Linked DNA regions of Rattus norvegicus. The protein of the gene in region 1 purifies or fractionates together with the protein of each later gene. This does not show direct contact. Links are inferred from orthologs where the notes say so. Each region holds a gene or a part of one and is shown on either strand. Other genes may lie near its edges.

Region 1 (4,619 bases):
CCAAAAGAGGGCATCGGATCTCTTTACAGATGGTTGTGAGCCACCATGTGGTCGCTGGGAATTGAACTCATAACCTCTGGAAGAGCAGTTGGGTGCTCTTAACCGCTGAGCCATCTCTCTAGCCCCAATTGCTCAGATTTTAAGGACAGCCTGGGCTACAGAGTGAGGCCCTGTCTCAGAAATAATAATAATAAACAATAATAGTAAAACAAAAATTAAAAGACCAAGTAGCATGCTCAAGATAGTTGTTGAAGAATGGATAACTATGCCCTCAGTATCTTAATTAACTATGGGTTTCTAGCATCCCTTAGGGAGTCTATTGACACATAAATCAATGACGATTTTAGTGTGGGAGGTAGAACTTGGGCCAACACACACACTCCTTGCAGGCTGTAGCAAGTCTTCTTTGTGCAAGTTAAAACTGTGGTGGTGTTTCCGGATGTATTGCCCTGCTCAGCAAGGACATCAACAGCACACTGAATTGCACGCCAGTATTTCTTTCAAGTGGGCATTTCAGATAAAACGTCATTGTTGTCCTGTTGAGGGAACTAGAACACATAAGAAGTTCGAGGGTGATGTATTCTAGTCATACCTCTGCAAATTTAGGAGATAAAACAGTGGAGGGCTGGGCTAAACATGGAAGCATGACAAAAGATACAGGTTCTTAGCTCGGTGGTAATGACCGGTAAGAAAATCAGAATGCCTCACCCAAATTCAAGTTTGGCCACTACAAATGTACTAATTTAACTGTAGCACAAGTAGCAAAACTCGGATGGGAAATGGGGAGAAAGGAGGATGGCATCTCCCAGGCTCCTACGTGTTCTCCGTGTCTTTCTGGTGAGAAGGTGAAGGCAGAGCTGCAGAATGCCTGCTCTGTTTGTTCCTGGGCAGAACATTCAGGCCTCTCTCTCCCTATCAAATAATTTCCCAAACTGAAGTTGAGAACGCAGACCGTGCCCGGGCCTTGGAAAGCCGAGTCACAGGGCCCCCAAGCCGGCCACGGTCAGCAGAAGGCCGTTTTGAACGTTTTGGAGTTTCGGGTTTCCACAGACCAGCCCATGCCCTTTGCACCGCGGCCTTGGGGGCAGCGCTGTGGGTCTGGATCAGGTATAAATTCTGGGGCAGAAGGAGGAAGCAGCCGCCGCCCCAGAAGAAGGAGTCAGGCCACAGGGTTTCCCAGAAGGCGAGCAGTATTCAGACCTCAGGGACATTCCCACCAGTTGGCTCCCTTCGCTCGGCCCCGCCCGGCTCCGCCCGGCCCCGCCCGACCCCGCCTCAATCACTCCAGCCTCCTCCCCAGCTGAGAGCGACGGGGAACCTCCGCCTGCGCCTTTAAGGGGCGTGACCGCAGCCTCCGCCCCTTCTACCCGCACGCGCCAATAAGGGGAGGGGTGCGAGAGGAGGAGCCTGGCGAGAGGGCAGGCGGCGGAAAGTGAGCCGATGCGCAGGCGCAGTGGTCGCACGACAGTGTGTTTCCAAAATGGCGGCGGCGATGGATGTGGATACCCCCAGCGGCACCAACAGCGGCGCGGGCAAGAAGCGCTTTGAAGTTAAAAAGGTTGGGTCTCGCCAGCGCCTTCCTCAAGGAATCTAGGGAGGCGCGGATATGGCTGGCAGGCCCGAGGAAGAGCTAGGCGCGGGGGAAAGGGCTTCATTTCAGGGCGTTCCTGGGACCGGGTACCACTAAAGGAAGCCGGGGGGCGGGCCTAGGGTTGATCGGCATGATGGTGGCCCACTGTCTTGGCCATATTAGTTTCGCTGGGAAAGCTGTGGGTCCAATCGCAGAGCTGCTTACTGAAATACGCGAGGTTAACTTCGGTGCGGGAGCCAAGCGCTTAAGCTGTCACTGAAGTGACTGAGAGTTGGGGGAAGGACAGGGTGGGGTGGGTAGGATGGAGACTCGTGAAGAGACTGCGGCGGGTGGAGGATGGGGCTGTGCGGAGAAACCCGGGAACGTGCGATGACACCGCAGAAGAGCTCTGCCGGTGTTCTTGCTCCGCCCCTTCCTGGATCCTAGAATCTATTGACTCCGAGGGACCTGGTGTGGGCCCTCGATTGTATGGCGGCCTCCATTAGCCTTCTAAACCCACAGTCTCAAGTGTAAAGCTTGGTTCTTCCGAGACGTGTACTAGTTGTCACATAGCTTCTGCCACTCCAATGGTTCTCTAATGCCCGTGTACACTTCTAACACAAAATGGTAATTTAAAAAGTCTGGTGGGCTTTGTTTTAAAAGCAAGCCCAGAACTTGTGCCATTTAAGAAGGCGGAGTACTAATTGTTAATGACCTGGGAACACAAAAAATATGAAACGTCCTTTTGTATTCTATTCCCTTCATAGTTTTCTAGCACTTTAAGAGAAAAGTGCCCGTTCCTACCTAAGATTACATAAATCTGCTCAAAATGAAGATCTTGAAGTGGGGAAGGTGTTTTTGGTTTTTTGTTGGTTTGTTTGGGGTTTTTTTTCCTTTTTGTTTTTGTTTTTTTTTTTTTTGTATGTATTACTTTTGGAAAGAGTCGCTGAGAACACCTCCCCACCCCACTCTTTTTTTGTCATCTCATTGTGGCCACTGCTGCTCAGTTACGGCCTGCAGCCATATGGAAGAATAATAGAAATAATGTCGAATTTACTAGACTCGAATACTTGAATTTGAGAAGTCAAACCAAAGTAGTCCTTGAAAGGGGTGTCCTAGGGGTTGGGGATTTAGCTCAGTGGTAGAGCGCTTGTCTAGCAAGCGCAAGGCCCTGGGTTCGGTCCCCAGCTCCAGAAAAAAAGAAAAAAGAAAAAAAAAAAAGAAAGAAAGGGGTGTCCTGCCCAGTGTAAGTCTTGGATCAATTTACTAGAACTAGCAAAATAATAGTTTGGACATATGAACGTTGGGAACATCAGTTTCCTTGGTAAGAGGACAAGAAAATTGCACTGGATTGACTTGCTTGCAGTGCTGTGAGGTGTAAGTGATGACCTTGTTCTGTGTGCTGACACTGGGTAGGTAACTCACTATCCAGCTTATCCCACGATTATCCCCTTAGCGATTGATCCATTTATTATCGTAGTTCAGTCTGTTCACCTCTCTTCCTCCGAGTCCAAAACTGCGTGGAGAGCAAATACTTAGGCAGATTTTGAGTTCGACCACATCTGTCAGGAACAGCTCCACATTAGTTCAAGTTTGTACTTGAAGCTAAAATGGGTGTTCAAAAAATAGCTCTAATATTCCCACGTCGGTTTGGCTAGCTAAATTATTTTATGCTATAGACCAAAAAAAAAAAAATTGGCGCGGTGGGGCTTGCCTTCCTCTTTCCGCCATCTTGGCGCCTTTGGAAGCCCACTGGGAACAGGACTTCTAAAAAAAACAAGTATGTCTGGAAGGCTGTGGTGCAAGGCCATTTTTGCTGGCTACAAGCCAGGCCTCCTGAACCAAAGAGAGTACACGGCTCTTCTTAAAATTGAAGGCGTTTGGGGTTGGGGATTTAGCTCAGTGGTAGAGCGCTTGCCTAAGAAGCGCAAGGTCCTGGGTTCGGTCCCCAGCTCCGAAAAAAAAAAAAAAATTGAAGGCGTTTATGCCCGAGATGAAACTGAGTTCTACTTAGGCAAGAGGTGTGCTTATGTGTACAAAGCAAAAAACAATACAGTGACTCCTGGAGGCAAACCAAACAAAACCAGAGTGATCTGGGGAAAAGTAACTCGGGCCCATGGAAACAGTGGCGTGGTTCGTGCCAAATTCCAAAGCAACCTTCCTGCAAAGGCCATTGGACACAGAATCCGTGTGATGCTGTACCCATCCCAGATTTAAACTAATGGAGAGTAAATAAATAAAAGTAAAAAAAAAAAAAAATTAAAAGTACCCATGTTCAGGAATGAGGAAGTGTACACGTGGTCTGCTGTTACCCTCTGATGTTGTACAAATAATGCAATCCAAAAATCATTCTTTCTTTGCTAGGCCCTATGGCCAGGGAGTTGGTAACTGAAGCCGCAGCTGAAATCCTAACGAGTCTGTTATGTTACCCAGAAAATGCATTGTTTCCCCTCTTCTCCTTGCAGTGGAATGCAGTAGCCCTCTGGGCCTGGGATATTGTGGTTGATAACTGTGCCATCTGCAGGAACCACATTATGGATCTTTGTAAGTAACTCGGGGCGGGTGGGAAGGCGTTGAGGAAGAGAGAAATGGCGGTCATCCTCGTGTGCCCAATTGTCTTCTTTACCAGTGAATACAAAGCAGGGTCAGAACCCGTAGGTACTTGAGTGTTTGAAGTAGATTGCATGTTGTTATTTTTGGAGACAGGGTTCTCTGTGTAACCCTAGCTGTGCTATAACTCAGTATGTAGACCAGGCTGGCCTTGAACTAGAGATCCCCTGCCTCTGCCTCCAGAGTTAAATTGTTTCTCTCTCTTTTTTTTTTTTTTTTTTTCCTTTTTTTTTTCCGGAGCTGGGGACCGAACCCAGGGCCTTGAGCTTGCTAGGCAAGTGCTCTACCACTGAGCTAAATCCCCAACCCCTAAATTGTTTCTCAAAAGGATGTTTTGGAGCCACACCTGGCTCTTAGAATGATTTGCTCGTTGTAAATTGGGCAAGATCCCATTTAGAATGAGGTGTGGGCAGAGCTGCCTCTTATCTCCATCTTAGAC
Region 2 (4,729 bases), about 95 Mb from region 1:
CAAGCAGGGCAGTGGTGGTGCAGCCTTTAATCCCAGTACTTGGGAGGCAGAGGCCCTGAGTTTTAGGCCTGCCTGCTCTATAGAGTGAGGAGCAGAGAGAACAGCCAGTACCACAGAGAAACCCTGTCTCAACAAACCAAACCAAACCAAACCAAACCAAACCAAACCAAACATGTTCACCACGGGCAGTCTACAGTTTACTGATGCTAATCATCCTGACCGGTGTGGAGTTCCTCTGAAGTGTCAATATACCTTATCAATTACTCTATTCCATCTCTTCATCTTTAATACCCACCATACTGTCATCGGTCCAGGCATCATATTGGGTGACCTGTCCGTGGGATGAATCACTCCCTTGTTCATCTGGGATGTTAGCCTGGCTTGAGGTGGCAGCCAAAGGAGGTTGGTCATTATTCTGGAGAGAGGAATGCTCTGAATCTGTAGATGAAGGTAAGTTAGGTGCCGGCATTTCATCTTCAAGAACCAAACATATCAAGTCCCCAGAAACAATCCCATATGAAGCCAAGGTCTCTTCATCTCCAGTGAGGGCATCCTTGTTGTTCAATGTAATTGCAAATCGGGTATCAGAACTGCCAAGAAAGACGGATGAGCATAGTAAGAGCTACCTACCAATATTCCAAATAATGCATTTGGAATACATTAAAGTACATGCTATGTGCCCAAAAGCACTATGTAATATAAAAAAAAAAAGAAAGAAAGAAAGAAAGCAGGGGACAAAATTACTTGTTCTTCTGATCAAATGCCTGGGTCACAGACTTCTAACTAAAACTTCAATAGCCTGGAAGGTATACTTATCATTAATTCATATGTTCATCGATCCTCGAGCATATACTTTTCAGTATTTCAACATGGCTGAACTCGAGGAGCTTCTTAAACTTAACACACCACTTTACTTCCGGCTTCCCATCAGTGCGAGGACTTCAAACTCCGGTGCCAGGCTTGGGCATCAAAAGCTTTCACCACCTCCCCAGCCCGATTCCTTTTTCTTACACGCATCCTTTCCTTTCTCATCAATTAAAGATGTTACTGGAGTTAAATTTATTCCTACTCCACAGACAGTAAGCTGCTCTGCTTGCTGCTTGCAAAGTGTTCTGATCAGCAAGAAGCTGAAAATCTGCCAGTGCCCATGAAAACACCAGGTCAACCTTGGCAGGAAAGGGGACAGTCCCCAAGCAAACAATTCCTTCTGTAGACAAGATAAGGAGCCGTCTGTTTAACAGAGATGCTAGCTTCCCCTCCCACTTTTCTGGCATGTTTTTCCAAGGTCCTATTTTCTGTAATCACCGGCATTGGGGGAATTTCACCCAAAAAAAAATGCAATTCTAGAAGCTCCAAACAAAAACAAAAAGGAAAGAGGAAGCTTCAAACTTTAAAAAAAATCTGTTTTATACCAATCTTTGGTTTGCTTACTTAGAAAATACTCTTTAAGAACAACAAGTGTGTCACATGGACACATTTTAAAGCTTCCCTTTTGTACCCCAAATGAGCAAAATTTCAGATTTTCACACCGACCTCGACTGTGAAAACAGCAGGCAAGAGAAACTAACAGGGGCTTCTGGGTTTCACACCCTTTCAAAACTGCCCAGCTTAACTGAGAAGTAATACAATTTGTAAATACCTTAAAAATTGCATTCTCAAAGCCTGAGGAGTGGCAATTGTTATCAACATAGAAAACAGTTTTACACCAAATGAGTAACATGTAGGTAGGTCACCATTATATGGAAATATATATAATATACGATATGGGAATACATTGTTTAATTCTTTTAATGTGAAAAAGGGCTTTTTAAAATATTTTGCCTAACATTATTTTATTAGACAGGGTCTCACTGTGTAACACTGGCTGGTCCGGAATGAACTCAAAGATACACCTAGCTCTTCCTCCAGAGCGCTAGAATAAAGGTATACCTCAGGCTTACTTAATGGGGAGGGGTGGGGGGGTGACCAATCTAATCAGTTTCATTTTGCTTAATTCCCTACAAATAAAGTGAAAAGGGGAAGACTTATTTAAAATGCCAATTAACGGGAAGAGTTTTTCTTTTAACATTTTTCCCTTTAAAAGCACCAGAGCCCATCTTCTAATTTTATTTTCTTCACTAGTTCAAATTTCTAGCTCAGCACTTGAAATGGGTCATCCATATAGTTGTCTCTCTACGTCCTGAAAATATCTTCTACAGAAACATAGAAGCTTCATCTGCAACCCCATAAATTAGTAATAGAACCTAATCCTTTCTCAACTTGCCACAAAACTGCAAGCTCTATAGGGTCAAGCCTCTATTTTAGAGAAAAAGCAACAAACATTCTCACCCAGAAAATGCCCAGTGACCCGAAGAATGCGTACTTCCAAACCTTGCAGTGAGAAAGTTACAGTTAAGTGCAGTCTGGCACATGCACGCTCACCTGTTACTGTAGCCCTGGGCGGTGGCACAAATTACAGCGACGTAGGATGTCAAGAAGTTTGTCACTTCAGCTACGATGCTTTCCCCGACTTAACCACTGAAGTATCCTAACCGCTAAGGTAAATTCCACCCACAGTGGGTTTACACTGGGAGGTTTAACGCAAGCCAAGCTTCCCGAATTTCCCTCCCGCCCTCGGGGCGGCCGTGACAGCAACCCGGAAGTGACTACTCACCATGGTGGACAGCGGCACCAGGGGGAGGCTGGGCCATGGTCTCCCAAAGCCAGACCCCGGCCAGCACTCAGCTGCCGAGCGTCACAGTCACAGGCGTCTAGACCAGCTACGCCCCGGAGGCCCGGACCTCATGTGACCGCCCGACGCGCGCCATTCCCGAGCCCCGCGACCGCGACGCCGCTCACCTGAACCCCAACGTGGGCAGCAGGTCCTGGATGAGGTGCGCGCGCAGCTGCCCGAGCGTCGGCTCCGACTCCGGCACCTCGAGCGGCTGGGTCCGCTTTTGAAGCCGCACGCGCAGCTTCATGGTGAGCGGACCGCAAGCCTCGGTCGGCCCGGGGAGAAACCGAAAGCAAGTAGCTCCGGGCCTGCGCGCCTGAGGAATCCCAGCTCGCCGCTCTCTCCACCACGCCCCCTAGAGCCTTCTGCTCGAGCCGAGTGCCGAGCGCCTGCGCTTCTCTATCGGTGGCTCTGGGCGCGACAGCGCCACCTGGGGGGCGAGGCGCGCACGGCGCAGGCGCTGAGTTCGCTGCCTTGCGCCGAGTGCCCACGCTACACCCTGTGCGCTTCCGCCCGGGTGAGCGAGTTCGTTCTTTCGGTCCCAGCTTGCAGGATCTTTAGCGCTGGAACGAGCGCTGCCCACAGTGTGCAGACGTGACAGACGCCCTAACCTGATGGCCCTGGTTTTGCCTGTTCTATTCCGGTCATTAGTGCTCAGACCTGCCTATAATTTACATAGGTCCCCTGTGGTGATAAGGATGTGGAGCCAGGGATCCCTTAAGGGCTGTTGTCGGCCTGGGAGATCCTAGAGGCCTACAGGTGAGATAAGAATAGGACAATGGCCGTGAGGTATTAACAGCTGCCTTTGCTTCTTTAAAACTCACTATCGCTATGGGAAACAGATGAAATGATCTTTTAATTACTACATAGGGAAGATAAGAAGCAATTGAGGAAAGTAAAACAGTTTTCCTGCCCAGCTGTGGATTTCGTGAATAGTTGTAATATACACCTTTCTGATGTCCAATTTAAACCCCCCTCTTAATCCTTAGCCCCCCCCCTTCTCCCTATGGAATGTTGTTTTGGCTCTAAAGATGCCTGCCGTCTGCTAGCAGTAAGAATAAACTCACTTAATATAAATTTGAATTGAGCCTGAGTCTTTGGTCTCTCTCCATGGATTTGAAGGCCACAACAGTATAGCTCTCCACTTTCCAGGTTAAATCTTGATAAACCAGCCTGCCTTCATCTCAGGCTCAAACGACATCTTATAGTAAAAGCAAACTAGGTCCATTCCTGTTTATGATTACATTTCTCCTTCTCAAGGATTGGTCTATGTCCCACCTGTAAACATAACTACGAATGGCTCTGTACTGCCCCATGCCTTTATTACAAAAGGTTATTATGACAACCTGTTGCTATGACAAACCCGCTGTGAACCCCTTGCAAACCATGTCTTCATTTCAAGAGGTTTTCATGACCAACTTGGCGTGCGTGCGTTCTGCTTCAGTAATCAGTGCCTATTCGCCTGCCAAATCCTCATCTGGAAACCCCCCTTGCTCCTGAACTATTAAAACCTTACCTTACCTATGTCCAGCCCATGTTCACAAACCAAAACATAAGCTTGCATTAATTAATATGGCCATGATGATCTGGGTTTGATGGTCTTTCTCCTCAGACATGAAGGACTGATCTTTTTTCCTGTGGGATTACCAATCCCTACTGCATTTTTTCCTTGGCGCTGCTCTTAGAAACTTGAAGCCACCCCCTCTATCTCCTTCGTGTTACAGCTTTCAGTTGTCGCACGGTGCATTAGTAACCTCTTGCCGCATATCTGATGTCCTTCAAAGCTTACTAGCCTGCATCGATAAACATGTGTTGCCCCATAGATTCTGTAGATTGGGAGCCTGGGTGTAGGGTGGTTAGGTAGTTAGTTCTGTCTCAGGGTCTCCCGCCAGAATTTACTACACATATCACCCTACCGGCCACAGATTTTTTTTTCCCCAGAGATCTGCTTGAATGTCCACATAACAGGACGATAGTTGGATTCCCTGAGAGTAAGCAACCCAAGCATAACCAAAG
Region 3 (4,555 bases), on another chromosome or scaffold:
CCAGGAACTGTTCCTGACACTCGGGGTGTGGACCACTTGTGAGTATCTTTTGAAAGAGTTAAGAGAATGACACAAGTCAGCAGACATATCCATCTCAATCGGGCCTTCCCTTCTCCAGCACTCCCCACAACAACCCCTTTCCCAGGCCCAAGGCGTCATTTGAGATCCATACTCACTGACATCAAAGGCATAGAGTACGTTGCAGGCCCCTTCGGTGTCATTACGCCCACCCCAAAGGAAAACCGTGTCATCAATGAGGACGGTCGAGTGTCCATACCGCATATAGGGCACAACAGGAGCTTGCCCTCGGACAGCAGGCCTCACTGGGGGCAGCTTTGTCCAACGCAAGGACACTGTGGACACAGCTCTGCTCAGCCCTGGGAACCTCCTCTGAGGCTGCCACCATGTCCCAAAGCAAACATTCTTACCCAACCCCTTTGCCACACATACAGACAACCACTGAACTTCATTTAGGTGCCCACGACCTCCCCCAATACAGGGACTCCAGAAAGGTGGGAGGACTGGCTTACCAGCATTGAAAATGTGCACATCTATCTGCCGTAGTGTTTCGTAGTCTTCACCAGAACAGTAACCCCCGAAGGAGTATACTCGGTGCCCAACAGCCACTGCAGCATGGTTCACCCTGCGTGGCCCGCCCTCCAGATGCACTGTCCACCGTAACATCCCCTGGGCCACAGGTTACATGAACATGCCCCCCCGGCACGGCCTGCTGCCTCTGCTACCTGTACACAAGTTAGGGCCACAGGTTCCTCAGATGAGGCTCTGTCCAGTTCCAATCTTTGCCTCTAAGTGCCACCCCAGTGGCCCTCCCAAACCACCCCTCTACAGGAACACTAGTCACAGCTCAGGTGGCTGGCCCTGCCCCAGGAGAGCTGCAGAGGTCAAGGAGCTAGCCCTGGCCCTGTGTTCTCCCACAGTGAAGGGTGGGGCCACCTTAACCTGACTGCCAGCTCAGAATCATGGTGATCATGACTGCCCCCCTGCTCCTGCCAACTCCACCCCATTCCTGGCTTGGAACAGCTCCAAGCCCCCCAGTCTCCAAACCCCTTTCCCATACTGGGTGTGCTCTTGCTTCTGGCTCTGTTTACTGCCACCTCTCTAAGAATTTCCCTCCATCTCTTAAAGGTAGGGATCTCAAAATACTCACAGCTATTAATAGCCCAGCCAGCCACAGACGGTCCACTGAAAGCTGGCATGGGTGCTTTAAAGTTAAAAAAAAAAAGCTTCTAGGCTTTTAGGGTGGATCAGTGTCCCTACCTAGGACAGAGAACTCCATGTAACCATGGTTGATTAGCCCCTCACAGGTCGTTCTTGTCAGCTGATCCGTTGTCCCGGGGGTCACCCAGGGTGTCTACAGGCACGAGGAGTTCCTTTGACAGCTGTGGCTCGTATGCTGCCAGGACTAGAAACTTAAGCCAGAAAGGTATGTGTATACTGGGAGTTGGGGGTAGGGAAGAGTTCTTTCAACTTCCCCAACCCTACTACTGTTAGAGAACAGGCCACTTCCAGCAGCCCTTCCCCTGTTTGGGTCTCTAAAGGAGGGATGGGGTGAAGGTGTAGACCGAAATGCCTTTGGGCAGGACAAGAGAAACCCCGAGCATGAGAGCAGTTGTGGCCTCTTAAAGACACCCTACCAGCCTAGTGACAATGGGTACATTTGAGAGTTCTTTCAGGTAAATCTTTTTGCAATTAGTGATGCCTTTGCCAGGAGACATGTGCTAGATTTGAGTGATCTGCCTCCTGTTCAAAAAAGCTTTGGCAGAGAGGAGAAACCTCAGGGGTAGGGGAGACACCTCAAGCACAGGAAGTCCCCTTAAAGAGGACAGATAAGGCTTTCACCCAACTTCCCCCAACCCTACACTGTATGCTTTAAATAGCCATCTCTCTCAACTTGAAATAGCAGTCAAAAGTTAAACTCTCACTTCACTACTCCTGCTCTTAGGTCTGCTTCTCAGAGAAAGGGGATTGAAAGCTTTAAGAATCCAAGTCCCCAGGCAGGTGTGGTGGGGCATGGAGGCAGGGGGATGTCTGTGTTAATCAAGGCCAGCCACACAGGTCTATACAGTAAGTTCCAAATCAGAGCTACAAGACCCTGTCTTAAAACAAAATAGGAAAGAATGTGATGGAGTGGAGTCTATTATCTCCCTTCATAGCCTTTACTCTCCCTTGAAGGTAAGTGCAATAACACGAAAACGCACAAAGATGAGTCTACTATCCCAGGGAGAGGCGAATAAAGAATCCCATCGTCTTCATTGGGATAACTCAAAGGCAGGGGGTTAAACGATACCTCTGGGTCTCCAGCATTTTTCTACCACTAGGCCATTTTCAACCGCCAGCCCCTTGGTGTACACGTCCCTTCCCTGCCACTTTCAACCCACCGCTGGCGTCCCTTCCCTTCTTAATCTCCCCAGAGCCTTGCAGTTCCTTGTTTTTCCTTCTCCCACCATTCCAAGGTCCACATCGGGACCCTCTAACTCGTCTACGTCCACGAAGGGGAAAAAGCCCTTCATTATCCCCTTCCAACCATAACTGTGCTCTCTGAATATGACTGGACCCCTGATTTATTCCACCTTTCTCAGTCGCCCCTCCCCCACAACGCCAGACACTGCCCCCTCCCCCTGCCATTATGCTCAGCTTCCTGATTCTCTTCAGAACCCACTCGTCCAGTTCTTTCAGCGCTTCCTCCAGCCACCAGGTCTCTCCCACCCGTCTCCAGGCTATTTTCCCCAAACCTTTCTCGGCCCATTAACACTCCTCTTTCCCAGCATCCCTCTAGCTCCTCCCCACCCCCATCTCATCCTTCTTGTCCCCTCCCCCGCGACCCCAGCGGGAGGCAATGGGCGTCGCCAGCCCCTCCAATCTTCCTCATCCCTCAACCCATCCCAGGCTACCTGCCAGGCCGGGCCGGGGTGGGGCCGCGGGTCCTCGCGCTGCCAGCAGCCTAGAACCCGTTGCCCGCCAACCGATTCCTCGGTCCCCAACGAGATAAACACTGCCAGACTTCGTCCTTCCGGCGAGCAGCGAGACGCGCACGTGCAGTGAGAACTCTGGGCCCGACAGCTTTAGGGATTTGTAGTCCAGAAATTACCTCAGGCTCCAAAGAGGGGGGAGTGGGCGTGACCTGTTGTGCGCATGCGCATAAGACCAGAACATGCCGTGCGCCTAAGGGTCACTGGGTAATGTAGTTCTTTGTGGTCCGGGCAGGGGACGGCGGAGGCGGGGCAATCGTCCTCGCTTGCGTCAGTCTCGGGCACGGGGCGGGGCTGGAGGACTAGAGAGCCCCAGCACGTCCTGCCCCGCCGGAAGTGAAGGTGCGGGTCCGGCTGTGGGCTCTGAGAGGGTGAGGCGCGAGGAAAACCAACGCCGAGAATCAGTGGGGGCGGGTAGGGGACGCTGTAGCTGGGGCCACTGAAGGGGAGCCCTGGGACTGAAGGTTTTTTTTGTCAGGCGGTACTGCACTCCCCCGGAATAGAGGGGCTAAGGGGCGGGGACGCGCTATCGCGGGTAGTCTAGGGACCTAGCGGTGGAGGGGCGTGGCGTGAGTGGGCGAGGTTCTGGGAAGGGTCTCACAGGAAGAGGTGAAGCCCTCCGGTTGTCTGTTTATTTAGGAATCGGGCGAGTTAAAGACTAGTGTGCTCCAGTTCAATATGAGAACCCAAACTTAAGACGGGGAGGCGCGAGAGACAGAGGGGAGGAAGATGCAAGACCCGCGAGAAGGAAGTGGGTGGTCTGAACGTGAAAGGAGACCTGATCTCACCCAGTCCCTATCCTGCCTTTCTGTCTTTGCAGCCCCTGCCCGGATGGCAGCAGTAGTTCTAGGGGGAGACACCATGGGCCCTGAGCGTATCTTCCCCAATCAGACTGAGGACTTAGGGCCACATCAGGGCCCTACAGAAGGAACTGGGGATTGGAGCAGTGAAGAACCCGAGGAAGAGCAGGAGGAAACAGGAGCAGGCCCAGCAGGCTACTCATACCAGCCCCTCAATCAAGACCCTGAACAAGAAGAGGTGGAACTGGCACCAGTGGGTGAGGGCGAAGATGGAGCTGCTGACATCCAAGATCGGATCCAGGTATGGTAGAGGGAGTTGTTACTAAGCAGGTGAAACGGAGTGTACCAAAAGCTGGACCCATTATCTCCTCTGGTTCTGCAGGCCCTGGGGCTTCACTTACCAGACCCACCATTGGAGAGTGAGGATGAAGATGAGGAGGGAGCTGCAGCATTGAGCAGCCACAGCTCCATCCCCATGGACCCAGGTAAAACAAAAACCAAAACTCATTCTTTCATTTAGGAATAATCATGAAGAAAAGGGATTGGCTTAGAACCAGTAAGAACTGGGCATGGTGGTAGACACCTTTAATCCCAGAATCATGAGGCAGAGGCAAGAGGCAGGTTGGTCTCTGAGTTTGAGGCCATCTGGGTCTACAGATCAAATTCTACAAAGAGAAGTCTTATCTTGAAAAAAAAAAAAACAAATACAACCCCCACCTCCACTCCCACCCCCACCCCCAAAAAACAGATCACTTTATTCCTAAG

The links.
Region 2: the proteins of Rbx1 (region 1) and Fbxo7 purify together in Homo sapiens (affinity purification with mass spectrometry; 5 studies listed by BioGRID and IntAct, with this or other methods). This does not show direct contact. The link is inferred for Rattus norvegicus from reciprocal best matches to the Homo sapiens genes RBX1 and FBXO7.
Region 3: the proteins of Rbx1 (region 1) and Klhdc3 purify together in Homo sapiens (affinity purification with mass spectrometry; 3 studies listed by BioGRID and IntAct, with this or other methods). This does not show direct contact. The link is inferred for Rattus norvegicus from reciprocal best matches to the Homo sapiens genes RBX1 and KLHDC3.

The regions. Positions count from the first base shown.
Region 1 is NC_086025.1:114,869,504-114,874,122, forward strand, and holds the start of Rbx1 (E3 ubiquitin-protein ligase RBX1), read left to right. Parts: upstream 1-1,475; 5' UTR 1,476-1,480; coding exon 1,481-1,558; intron 1,559-4,035; coding exon 4,036-4,114; intron 4,115-4,619. UniProt on the Homo sapiens protein: E3 ubiquitin ligase component of multiple cullin-RING-based E3 ubiquitin-protein ligase (CRLs) complexes which mediate the ubiquitination and subsequent proteasomal degradation of target proteins, including proteins involved in cell cycle progression, signal transduction, transcription and transcription-coupled nucleotide excision repair.
Region 2 is NC_086025.1:19,722,188-19,726,916, forward strand, and holds the start of Fbxo7 (F-box only protein 7), read right to left. Parts: upstream 2,994-4,729; 5' UTR 2,961-2,993; coding exon 2,839-2,960; exon of another isoform or gene 2,691-2,838; coding exon of another isoform or gene 2,654-2,690; intron 2,596-2,653; exon of another isoform or gene 2,422-2,595; intron 591-2,421; coding exon 296-590; intron 1-295. UniProt on the Homo sapiens protein: Substrate recognition component of a SCF (SKP1-CUL1-F-box protein) E3 ubiquitin-protein ligase complex which mediates the ubiquitination and subsequent proteasomal degradation of target proteins and plays a role in several biological processes such as cell cycle, cell proliferation, or maintenance of chromosome stability.
Region 3 is NC_086027.1:21,798,443-21,802,997, reverse strand, and holds the start of Klhdc3 (kelch domain-containing protein 3), read right to left. Parts: upstream 2,994-4,555; 5' UTR 2,913-2,993; intron 1,445-2,912; exon of another isoform or gene 1,431-1,444; 5' UTR 1,279-1,430; intron 744-1,278; 5' UTR 685-743; coding exon 531-684; intron 354-530; coding exon 177-353; intron 47-176; coding exon 1-46. Other genes in the region: Mea1 (male-enhanced antigen 1), read left to right, coding at 3,822-4,091, 4,173-4,275. UniProt on the Homo sapiens protein: Substrate-recognition component of a Cul2-RING (CRL2) E3 ubiquitin-protein ligase complex of the DesCEND (destruction via C-end degrons) pathway, which recognizes a C-degron located at the extreme C terminus of target proteins, leading to their ubiquitination and degradation.